Linked DNA regions of Cricetulus griseus. The main gene of each other region encodes a partner of the protein of the gene in region 3 in a complex. Links are inferred from orthologs where the notes say so. Each region holds a gene or a part of one and is shown on either strand. Other genes may lie near its edges.

Region 1 (3,653 bases), on a different chromosome or scaffold from region 3:
AACTTGTCAGGACTATTAAATGAGACATCTATCTGTAATGAATGTTCTCTAAGGAGTGCCCTTCTCTGATGAACTCTGTGTCTCAGGAGGTTGATCTTGTATGGATACAAACCCTCACTTCCCTACCCCTATAGCTTCTATCTAGACTTGATTAATGGGGAGCCCTGGCAGATCAGAGCAAGAGTGAGAGAAGGGTTTATCTTCCCACATCTCCCTTCTTATTATAATCTGGCAGGCACTGATTGAATCATTCAATTCTAAGCCATCACCTCAATTATTGGCTCTCTTGTATACTTCCAATTTCTGATGACAGCTCCCACCATTTTCCCAGTTAGGAGTAGGAGTGGTAAAGTACAAAAGCAATCATTGTTTTTTTTTGTTTTTGTTTTTTTTTTTTTTACTTAAGACTGAACACTCCTTTGGAATCAGTCTCCTTATTAAATTTTTTCAATTAGTCACAGTCTCAGCCCTCAAATTCCAATTGATATGTTCTTTAATTTAGAAGAGAAAGCCCTGTTAGGAGATAGGTGGCCTTTCAACCAAAATTAGAAGCAAAACTGAAAGCAAGTAAAAAAAATGATGTTGTAAATACCTGAATCTGGCAATGAGTTAAGATCTGCACATAGCACCAGCGGGATGGAATTAGGATCTGCGGTTGGGCTGCCAGGCCTACTTGAGGCTTTCTCCAGAATGTTTTTAACCTCTGAGACAAACATCATGGTCTGAATAAGTTTCACATCAGAATACTCTGGGTCCCAATGCATGTGGGCATTTGCCACTATAAGCAGCTGTTTGTCTGCAGCATGAATAGGCTTCATACCTAAATTTAAACATCATAAAAAAGAAAATGTAGAGTTATGTTTATGTTTCTTGAGAGTAGTACCTTAAAAGTTCTCTGAAAAATATCCATTGCTACTTCTTTACTCTTTCCTATTAATTTAAACTGATTTTTATCTTGCACTTATCTGACAAGCTAAAAGGTAATTCTGGAAATTGCAATATATTAGTTATTCATCAGGGTCATGTTAACAAATGGCAGCCTATGGAATAAACCTGGGTCCACTACATATTTCTATTACAGGCTTTGTGAGCTAAAGGTAGTTTTACACTTTTCAAACAGACTCTATGTGGTCCACAGAACCTAAAATATTTAGTATCAACAATTATAGTACATGTTTATACTAGAAATTATTTCATAATATAATGAATATATGGGTTATAGTACTATTCATCTGCTGAGTTCTTAGCTTAAAGCAAACAAGTTATTTTAATTTTAAATGATGTGTGTATATGTATCGGAATATGAGGTCGGTACATGAATATAGTGCCTGTAGAGACCAGGATTTCTTGTATCTGAAATTAAAGGTGGTTGTGAGCCACCCAATGCAGCTATTAGGAACCAAATTCCAGTCCTCTGGAAAAATGAATGCTCTTAACTGCTAAGCCACCTCTCTAGTACCAAGCAAGCACTTTTAAGTGCCTCTTATTTAATTAGCATAATAATCTAGTGAGAGATTTTTCCAACTGAATTAACCAATACTTAATATCTTGCCACTACATAATATGTTACCTGTGTTGCATTTCACTAGCTTAATAGTGAAAGGTCAGTAGGAAAAATTAGTAACATTATATGAACCTACAGAAAATGAAATAAGGAAGCACATTTGTTACCCAACTGAATCCTCAAAGTTTATTTACTTATTTTAATTTTTGAAGTCAGGGTTTCTCTGTGTAGCCCTGGCTGTCCTGGAACTCACTATGTAGACCAGGCTGTCCTCAAACTCACAGAGATTGGGCTACCTCTGTCTCCCGAGTGCTGGTATTAATTAAAGGCATGCGCCACCTCAGCTGACCCCAGTTAATTTTAAAATGGAAACTGTGGGACTGGATAAAGGCTCAGAGCTTAAGAGCACTTGCTGCTCTTGAAGAGGACCAGAATTTGGTTTCTATCACTGACATCAGACTGCTCACAACTACCTGCAACTCTACTTCCAGTAGATCCAACACCCCTTCTGGCTCCCATGTGTACCAGGCATGTATATTGGGCACATACGCAGCCATGACCCTCAAAACAAAAATCAGAGAATTATGTGCTCTCAAAAGTCTGGATACTTTCATCTTTGACCTGCTTTTACTACTAATTACTTTGTGTGAATTCAGGGTAGTCAACCACTTAATGTTTTTGATACTCGAATAATTTGTAAAACGATAATTCAGCTATATATATATTCTTTTTTCCCTAAAATTCTGTCAAACATCAACATAGTACTTTTCAAAAGGTGGACATGGTAAGTAATAATATTAAATACAAATTGTGAAAAGAAAACTTAATAGGTGCTGGCGAAAGATGACCCTAAAACAGTCAAGGCATAAAATTAAATATTAATGGTATAATGTCACTTAACATAAATCTATATACACATATTTCAGATGTTTGGATTCATAAAAAGAAATGAGTAGGAGGAGATTTCTAGAGTGTGACTGACACAGGAACTTATTGCTTTTTAAGTTTATATACTTGTGAACTATTAAAGTATCAGTTAACATGCAAACCTAAGTTTTCTACAAGAATATCTCAGATTTTTCTACTGAAATAGAAACTCTAAAGAAAAAAGACAAATTTCTAAGTCTGATATTTAGGTAAAATTATTCTTCCTTCCAATCTTACTATATTTAATTTTCTTCAACATTGAGAAAATAAATTAATAAAGTACCTGTTACATGAAACTGAAGGAATAATTTACATTTTTTTTCTAAGCTGTCTCATTTTCCTAGAAGTTTTAGTGTCACTTATGGCTATAAGTGAATGTTTACTATGTTAAATATTAAAAACATGTCCCCAAAAAGCTATTTGCTCCTACCCACCAAATTCCCCTTCTAGAGGGATAAGGGATGTATCTTAGGAAGTAGAAGTGTGCAGTAAGTAATTCAGAATTACTCTTCTATAAATTAAAAAGGGATAAACCCCAAAGGTGTATATTTCTATAAAAGCAGAACAAAATATACCAGGAAGAAAGTGATAGGAAAAATACATAAAAATATTGAAAAGGCTAAAAACAAAAAGTAAACATGAAATTTCACATTAAAGGCTGTTTTTGTTTAACAACAGATAAACTGAAGAACTGTAGGAAAAAAAGGGAAATTTAACAATATGTATAGTCTGAATAATTCAAACTAGTACTCAAGACAGCCTTTTCTTCCACAGGCAGCACAGGGAGAGAAGTGCACTGATGTCATCTTACCACCTTGTTCTTGCCTGCAACATTAATAAGTAATAAAGTGCTCTGAGGCAGGCAGGAGAGAGGCTAACAAAAGATCTTAATAATGCCAAGCACACAACAGATTTCTGACTCTCAAGGAAGCTATGAATAATCTAAAAACCCTGGAAGTATCACATAGAAAATATGTCATTCTCACCCTGACAAAGACTTGAAATTTAACAAAGAAATTAAAGAAAACAAGCCAACTATTTCATATTAAAAACAAAGGGTTCACATTCACAAGAGAGGACTAAGCCATGGTAACTTCTAATTCAGCCTAACTAAACATCAAAGAACTTATTCAATTAATGGTATGTTAAAAAGGCAGGTATTACCTTGTTAAGTAAAAATAATGATAAAAACTATAGAATGTCAGGAAATCACAAGAAATAA
Region 2 (3,753 bases), on a different chromosome or scaffold from region 3:
AGGAAAGTAGAAACCGAATATGGTCACCTCTGAACTTTCATCAACTACCTCAGGACCATCACATGCTATTCCTGTATGTGCAACTTATCAGAAAAATATAAATGGACAAAAGAAAAGTAAAACCCAGAGGGTAAAAGGCAGCCCGAATGAGCCTCCATCTTGGACTCAAATGACCATTCTTTTCTTCTTTAATTACTTATTCAAACACCAAACTCAAACTCTACTGCATTCCACTGTACTCAAATGCACATGTAGTTAGATTATACTTGGGTTTAGTCTGCACTTAACTTACATGTAGTGTTTATTAGTCACATTTCATTATAACAAGGTTACCTCCACAGCCTGATAACAGGCACAATTAAAGCAAAAAGATTTTGTAGAAACTAAAGTTTGAAAACATTAAAACCAGAACTTTCTTCTCCACAACAAATACCACTACATATTTATAATAGAAATCTTAAGTATACATTTTTAGATGAATATATGTGGGCATTCTCAAAAGTGACAAAACATCTAAGCCAGAGTTTCCTAACCAGAAGATCTTGCACATAGGAGAGGGTTGCAAACGAACTGAAGATTTTACTCTCTCATCACACAAGGGCCAAAAAATACAACTATAAGCTGCTTCAACCATTATTCCAGTATCTTACACAGATTACCTTTCTGGGCTGCACTGTATAAAAAACTTAGTTGTGGTACTGCACACCTTTAATCTCAGCACTCCAGAGACAAAGACAGGAAGGCCCACAAGGACTACATAGAGATCTTTTTTTCTTTTAAAGTTAACATGGGTACAGTAGATGCCTAAACATTAACCAAAATACTAGTTAAAATTACATGTATAATATCTGTTCAAAAAAAGAAAAGAAAAAAAAAAAAAAGCCTGAAATTTCCCAGCAACCAGAAACATCTGAAGTTACACACGGACTGACTTCCAAGGAGACATCTCCAGTCACACAAGAAAAATGGCTTTTTGTCACATACATTTTGTCCATGTTAGCAAGCACCTTGTGCACTTACTAAGAAATGGCCACATTGATCTACCTCAAACAGTATCTATTGGCTAAAACCCTTTCTTCTCAAAAAAAAAAAAAAATACTTAATAATTATACCGCAATTACATGTCTTCACAAATACAGAAAGCCTGATGTTTACCCTCACTCACTGCAATACCTTGGTCGAGTCATCTTATTCTTTCTAGGGTTCGGTTTCCTCATGGGCAGCGTAAGACTAGACCACTAGTTCCATGTAATTTTAACTCTAAAGTTTATTCTAGAAAGCATCAAATTCAAAAGGCTGGCAGCAATTACAAAAAGCAAAATATGTCTTCACAACCTTTTGCCTACAGAATTGCTGTGGAATGAATGGTGGAGAATTCTAGGGAACTGTGGAAAACGGTGCTATTACACACCAAATTGGTTTTCGCTTAATTCGTAGTCCCTCTCTTCTCCAAACAATCCCAAACAGAGGCAACAAAGAACTTAGCCCTAGCAATAATCCGGCAGTCTACCTGCAAAACAGGTTTGCCTGTACTCAAATTCAAGCAGATTATTTAAACACAGTAACAAGACGTTGTTCACAATGTTGTCACTTGCAGTTAACAGTTAAAAGCAACGATTACAGTTGCTTGTGAGCAGACTCCGAAGACTATGTCAAAGCAGAAAGAGTCAAAGGGGGGAAGCCGGCGGGGGAGGGGGGGAATGTTACCAAAGAAAATAACCACTGGCGTTCAAACATGAAAAGTCTAGGTTCGCTTTAGTTAAACTCGGGAAAATTTCTTCAAGGAATTAGTACTCGAGTCCTGAGTCCAATAATCTCTACATCTGATAATTACGTCTTTGGCCACGTAATCCGCTCCGCCCTAACAGTAAATATCTGCGTTAAAATGACTTATTTAAAATACTCGAGGAAGGAAAAGGTGAGCGCTAAGTTTGTCCACGGAGTGCCAAGTTCCACGCCGCACAGTGCGCCACCCCACACAACCACTTCACCGAAGTTGCCACCGGTCTTGGCCCGGAGTCCCGGGACACCAGCTCCTTCCTCTCCAGATGCGCATGGCCAGAACCGGGGGTCCGAGAAGCTCAGGCCCACGCCACCGCCTCTGTACGCCACCACACTGCCGTCAATCAACACCCCCACCCCCGGCCGAGCCCCGGGACTCCGCGCGGGGGCGCGGCCCGGGGACCGACGGGATCGTGACTGCGGCGTCCAGGAGGGGGACCGGCAGACGTCACTCCGAGAACTACTAAGTTGTGTGTGAGTGCGCGCTCGAGGTCCCCAGGGCACGGCCCCCGGGGGATGGGAGAGCGCAGGCAGCCGAGCCTCGGCGGGACTTCGCAGAGCCCGTCGCGCTCACCTCTCGAGCTGCGCCGCCTTCCTCCGCCGCTGCCGCCGCCTCCTCCCGGTGAGTGCAGCGGGGTCTGCCCTGTGGAACCACCATACCAGTCCCGCCCGCTGCTGCAGCGCCGCCGCCGCTCCTCAGCCGCCTCAGCCGCCGCTCTTTGTTCCCCCCTCAGGCGCCGCTCCTCAGCCGCCCGCCTCGGCCGCCCGGACCCCACGAGCCGCCGCTACGCTCTGCCGCCCTCTCGGCCCCCGGCCTCGCCCTCCTCGCCCGCGCCGCCGCCGCCTTCGCCTCCGCGCCGTCGACGCCGCCGCCACCGACGCCGACGCCTCCTCTTCCGCGCCCCCCTCGTTTTCATTGAAAGCAAACAAGCATCATGGCGGCGGCCGCCGTCCCCCTCCCACCCCAGCCAGCGAGAGCCCCGCTCACCGCCGCCTTGCCAACATCCTGGCTTCCCATTGGAGGATACTGCTGGGCGCGACCATTTCGCGTCAGGCAGGGGGGTGGATCTTCGTCTCCGTTCCCCCGCGTCGCGGAGCAGTGAGCCGGCCCGGCGCGCTCCTGCCCGCCCGCCCTGCCTCTCTTCCCGCTCTCTTTGCGCCTAGCCTTCTCCACGCCTACTGTCTCCTCCTCTTCCTAACACCGTCCTAACGCCGTTTCAGCTGCTCCCTATTCCCTTCTCGCTCACTTTTATCTCCACTTTCCCCTTGATTTTTCCTCCTCTCCATTCACTTTTCTTTTCCTTGACCTGTCAATCACTTGGAAGCACAGATAAGCACTCAGACTTTTAACCTATCCAGTGTCTTGATCTGCCCAGAGACAAAACGTTCAATCTTGAATACTCGACTCATTGTTTCTGCCCTAACTATGCAGAAAAAAAAAAAAAATAATCAGTAGGAGTTTTTGATGATAAAGTCCTAGTTTTAAGTAACGAACCATAGCCGCATTCAAAGGCTAACACAGTCTTATCTCTTCTGGGTTATTACCTGCAGACGGTGGTTGCAGGTAAACCAGGAAAGAAACGGGCTGACTAATGATGTTTACGTCAGGAAATAATAGTTGACTGGTATTTTGGGCTCAGGGATTAATCAGACTCCACCTTGTCTTGAGTCAGCGTTGCATAGTGTATGGGCAAGAGTAATATCCGGCAGACAAACTGCACTGGCTATGCAGGATATAGTGTGAAGGAAAATAGCTGCCCCCTACCTCGTGCCAAATCAGCCCAAAAGATATGAATGTCAAATGGTTTCCAGAAACTAACAAGGAAAAAATAAATAAATGCTTGTCCCTCACCGAAGTCTGTAGGAAATGGGTGGCTATTGCCTGAGGCAGAGAGAGCTGGGAGAGCAAAGCTCCCAGGGACAAAGGCTCTTCCAAGAACCAGATGTTCTGTTCAAATCAAACAGTTTGTG
Region 3 (3,653 bases):
TCGGTATGAGTCGTCAGAACTCTATCAGTTGGTTTTGGAGTTCCTTGTGGGTATTTGTGGTTAGGGTTGTTAGTTTCTGCTTTTGTTTTTGCAGCTGAGACTGGCCTCAAACTCTAATCGTACCGCCTTTCTCAAGGTCTGGGATTATAGCTGTATACCACCATACCCACGTTTCTCTGGTTTTCTTTGACATTGACATAAGTATTTCTTTCTTCTTTTTTATTTATTTATTTGTTTATTATATATACAATGTCCTGCCTGCAGGCCAGAAGAGGGTGCCAGATCTCATTACAGATGGTTGTGAGCCATCATATGTTTGCTGGGAATTGAACTCAAAACCTCTAGAAAAACAGCCACTGCTCTTAACCTCTGAGCCATCTCTCCAGCCCCTGACATACATATTTCTACACTGTTAAGTTTGACAGCTATTTTTAGTTTCTAGCTACAGATTTGAAGTAAGTATAATGTGTTTTAAAAATGAAGAAGAATACAATTCCATACTTTTTTAACATCATAAAAACAATTTTCAAAATAGTAATAAACACTCTGAACATAAGCGGTTCAACTAATTTAGTGATTTGCTGTATCCTAAGAGAAAAGATTTTGCTTGGTTACCTTAAAAATATTTTCTGTCAGTGATTCAATCCCAAATATGAAACCAGAGCTTTAAGCCTGGCATGGCGTGATGGTTCAGACCTGTAATTCCAGCACTCAGAAGGCTAAGACAAGAGGCTTGCTACAGAATGAGGCCCTGTTTCAAAAAATCAAAATTAAGTAATTATTTTATGTTCATTTCATTTAAATCAGAGTCATAGCTTTGAAGTTTTAAAGAGTGATGTTCATATCACAGGAAAGTAAATATATTTAGGTACATAGGCACTTTTTTTTTTTTTAATCATAGTAGACACCTGGCCATGATTGTTATAACCATTACATGGCATATAGTAGGAACTCAGTAAATTTATTTTTGTTGTTTGCGAGGGTGGGGGGGAGTTATTTTGTTGTTTTTTTCCTTCCTCTGTAGCTTGGGAGCCTGTCCTGGAACTCTATCCGTAGAGCATGCTGGCCTCGAGCTCAACAGAGATAGATCCACATGCCTCTGCAGCCGTGCCCCCTCCCCCAAGTGCTGGGATTAAAAGTGTGTGCCATCCACCTGTCTGTCGTGTGTGTGTGTGTGTGTGTGTGTGTGTGACTAATGTAGCTTCTCATGTCACTTTTTTCTCTCTTCTCCTTCTCCTCTCCCTATCCTCCTCTCCTCTCCCCTCCCCGCTTCTCTTATCTTTTGGAGACAGTGTCTCCAGGCCGGCCCCAAACTCATGATTCTCCTAATTTAGGAGTACCCTTGAGTTGTAGGAACTCAACAACATTGCAACAACACATTAGTTTTAGCATTTATGACTTGATCTTTTTTAAACCTAACATCGAGAACTTTTGAGTTCATCAGGTTTTAAGGTATTTGGTGCAGACTGCAGATTGTGTTGGTTTACTCACCCTAGCCTGGGTGGTTGTTACACATTGACACTTGAGCTGTCTGTATGATGTGTCAGTGAGGGCAAGCAGGTATGCTTCTAAGCAGTAGTCATCTCTGGCCTCTGACTGTATGCTAAGTAGCCCTCAACATTTCTTGCTTCTGATAATCTCCAAACATTGGCACATGTCTCCTAGGGAACAAAATTACACATTTCAGAAGGTTGGTCAAGGCTAAAAACCAATAAAGTTCGTTTCTAAAGATTACTTACTCTGGTGATTTCACGTATTGTTTTAGGCTTAGACATTTGATGTCTAGAAGGCAGCTCTGAGGTCTAAATATGGTTGTTTTTTCTTTCAGGTCGGCTTTTCTCGCAGCACACATCCCACTTTTTTTGTACCCCTTTTTGCACACAGTCAGCAAAACTCGTCCCTTTGAGTATCTTCGGCTCACTAGCCTTGGAGTTATTGGTAAGTTATTTTATTATTTTTGTTTTGATTTTCTTGAGATGGTCTCATGTAGTATAGGCTGGCCTCAAGCTCACTATGTACCTGAGGATACCCTTGAATTTTTTAGTTTCTGATGGTTTAACCTCCACCTCCAAAGTGCTGGGATTATAGGCATACATCGCCATACTTAATGCAGTGCTGGGGATTGAACTCAGGGTAAGACTGAAATTCTTCTGGTCAATAGTGGTCTGAGTTGTATTTTGTACAACTTCTTATAGCTTATTCATTTTTTGTCTTTGACATCTCATTTACTGATAAGTGCTTGCAAAGTTAGCAGGCACCATTCTCAATGTTGCTAGTAAAGCTGTAAGGATCAATAATCATTTAGCATCAAGTTATAGAGGGAGTAAGGAATAACTTGATCGATCAACTTTTGGGGGGGGGTATTTGAGACAGGATTTTCTCTCTGGCTTTGGGGGCTGTCCTGGAACTAGCTCTTGAAGACCAGGCAGGTCTTGAACTCACAGAGATCCTCCTGCTTCTGCCTCCCAAGTGCTGGGATCAAAGGTGTGCGCCACCACCACCCTATTGATCAACTTTATCTAAGTTGAATGAACTTAGTTTAGTAACTCAGAGCCTTGTATTAGGCTAGTGTTCTTAACACTGAGCACTTTCTCCACTTGCTTTATTTTTATTTTTTAAATTTTGACACAACATCTCTTTAATTTGCCGGGGCTGGCCTTGAACTCAGCATTTCCCTGCCTATGCCTTCCCAATACTGGGATTGCACTCATGACTCTGCTGCTGACTCTTTTTTGTTGTTGTTGTTCAAATGAATATGAAACTGATTGCCTGACACAGAAACTACAGTCTGCATATCATATTACTTAAATTCCATAGCTTGCTTTGATGGGACAGTTCATAGTAAATGTAATTAGAAATAATTTCTTTAAAATAATTTTGTTTGTTCATATTTTCTTTAGGGGCCTTGGTTAAAACAGATGAACAAGAAGTAATCAACTTTTTATTGACAACAGAGATAATCCCTTTGTGTTTGCGCATTATGGAATCTGGAAGTGAACTTTCTAAAACGGTATGTGCTTTTAAGTGAGATTCAAAATTGTTTTGGCTCTCGAGCTCTTGCTTTGTGGCTCTAGAATCATTTTCTGCCTCTCCTGGGAAGTTAGAGCAAAAAGTCAAGGCAAGCACTGATGCAGAGACCATGGAGGAGTGCTGCTTACTAGCTGGTTTCATGTAGTTTGCTCAACCTGCTCTCTTAAAGCTATGTAGCCCTTACTGGCCTGATACTGTATAGCACAGGCAGACCTCAAATTTGGAACAGTCCTGCCTCAGGTTCCTGAGGACTGGAATTACGGACATGCAGCACCATACTAGGCTTTGTATTTAGCTTTCTTGTATGATACAACACCTTGATCATAGTAGGCACACATTAAAATAAAGGTTCTTGGTCAAGGCTGTTAATGAATGATGTAATAAACTGGGAAGTATTTTTAAAATATAGGGATATGGCTGGAGAGGTGGTTCAGTAGTTAAGAGCACTGGTTTGATTCCCATCACCTGTATGGTGGTGGCTCACAACCACCTATAACTCCAGTCCCAGGGGATCCGTTGCCCTCTTCTGGCCTCCGTGAGCACTGATTGTACATGGTGTACAGATACACATGAAGGCAGAATAGACAAATCTTTCATTTAAACATGGAGCTAGAGAAATGGCT

What was found.
Region 1: Cnot9 (region 3) and Cnot6l share a complex: the UniProt entries of both Homo sapiens proteins name them as parts of the CCR4-NOT complex. The link is inferred for Cricetulus griseus from reciprocal best matches to the Homo sapiens genes CNOT9 and CNOT6L.
Region 2: Cnot9 (region 3) and Cnot6 share a complex: the UniProt entries of both Homo sapiens proteins name them as parts of the CCR4-NOT complex. The link is inferred for Cricetulus griseus from reciprocal best matches to the Homo sapiens genes CNOT9 and CNOT6.

The regions. Positions count from the first base shown.
Region 1 is NW_023276807.1:158,440,386-158,444,038, forward strand, and holds part of Cnot6l (CCR4-NOT transcription complex subunit 6-like), read right to left. Parts: intron 821-3,653; coding exon 593-820; intron 1-592. UniProt on the Homo sapiens protein: Has 3'-5' poly(A) exoribonuclease activity for synthetic poly(A) RNA substrate.
Region 2 is NC_048600.1:64,155,690-64,159,442, forward strand, and holds the start of Cnot6 (CCR4-NOT transcription complex subunit 6), read right to left. Parts: upstream 2,728-3,753; 5' UTR 2,357-2,727; intron 1-2,356. UniProt on the Homo sapiens protein: Poly(A) nuclease with 3'-5' RNase activity.
Region 3 is NC_048595.1:427,766,921-427,770,573, forward strand, and holds part of Cnot9 (CCR4-NOT transcription complex subunit 9), read left to right. Parts: intron 1-1,828; coding exon 1,829-1,938; intron 1,939-2,900; coding exon 2,901-3,010; intron 3,011-3,653. UniProt on the Homo sapiens protein: Component of the CCR4-NOT complex which is one of the major cellular mRNA deadenylases and is linked to various cellular processes including bulk mRNA degradation, miRNA-mediated repression, translational repression during translational initiation and general transcription regulation.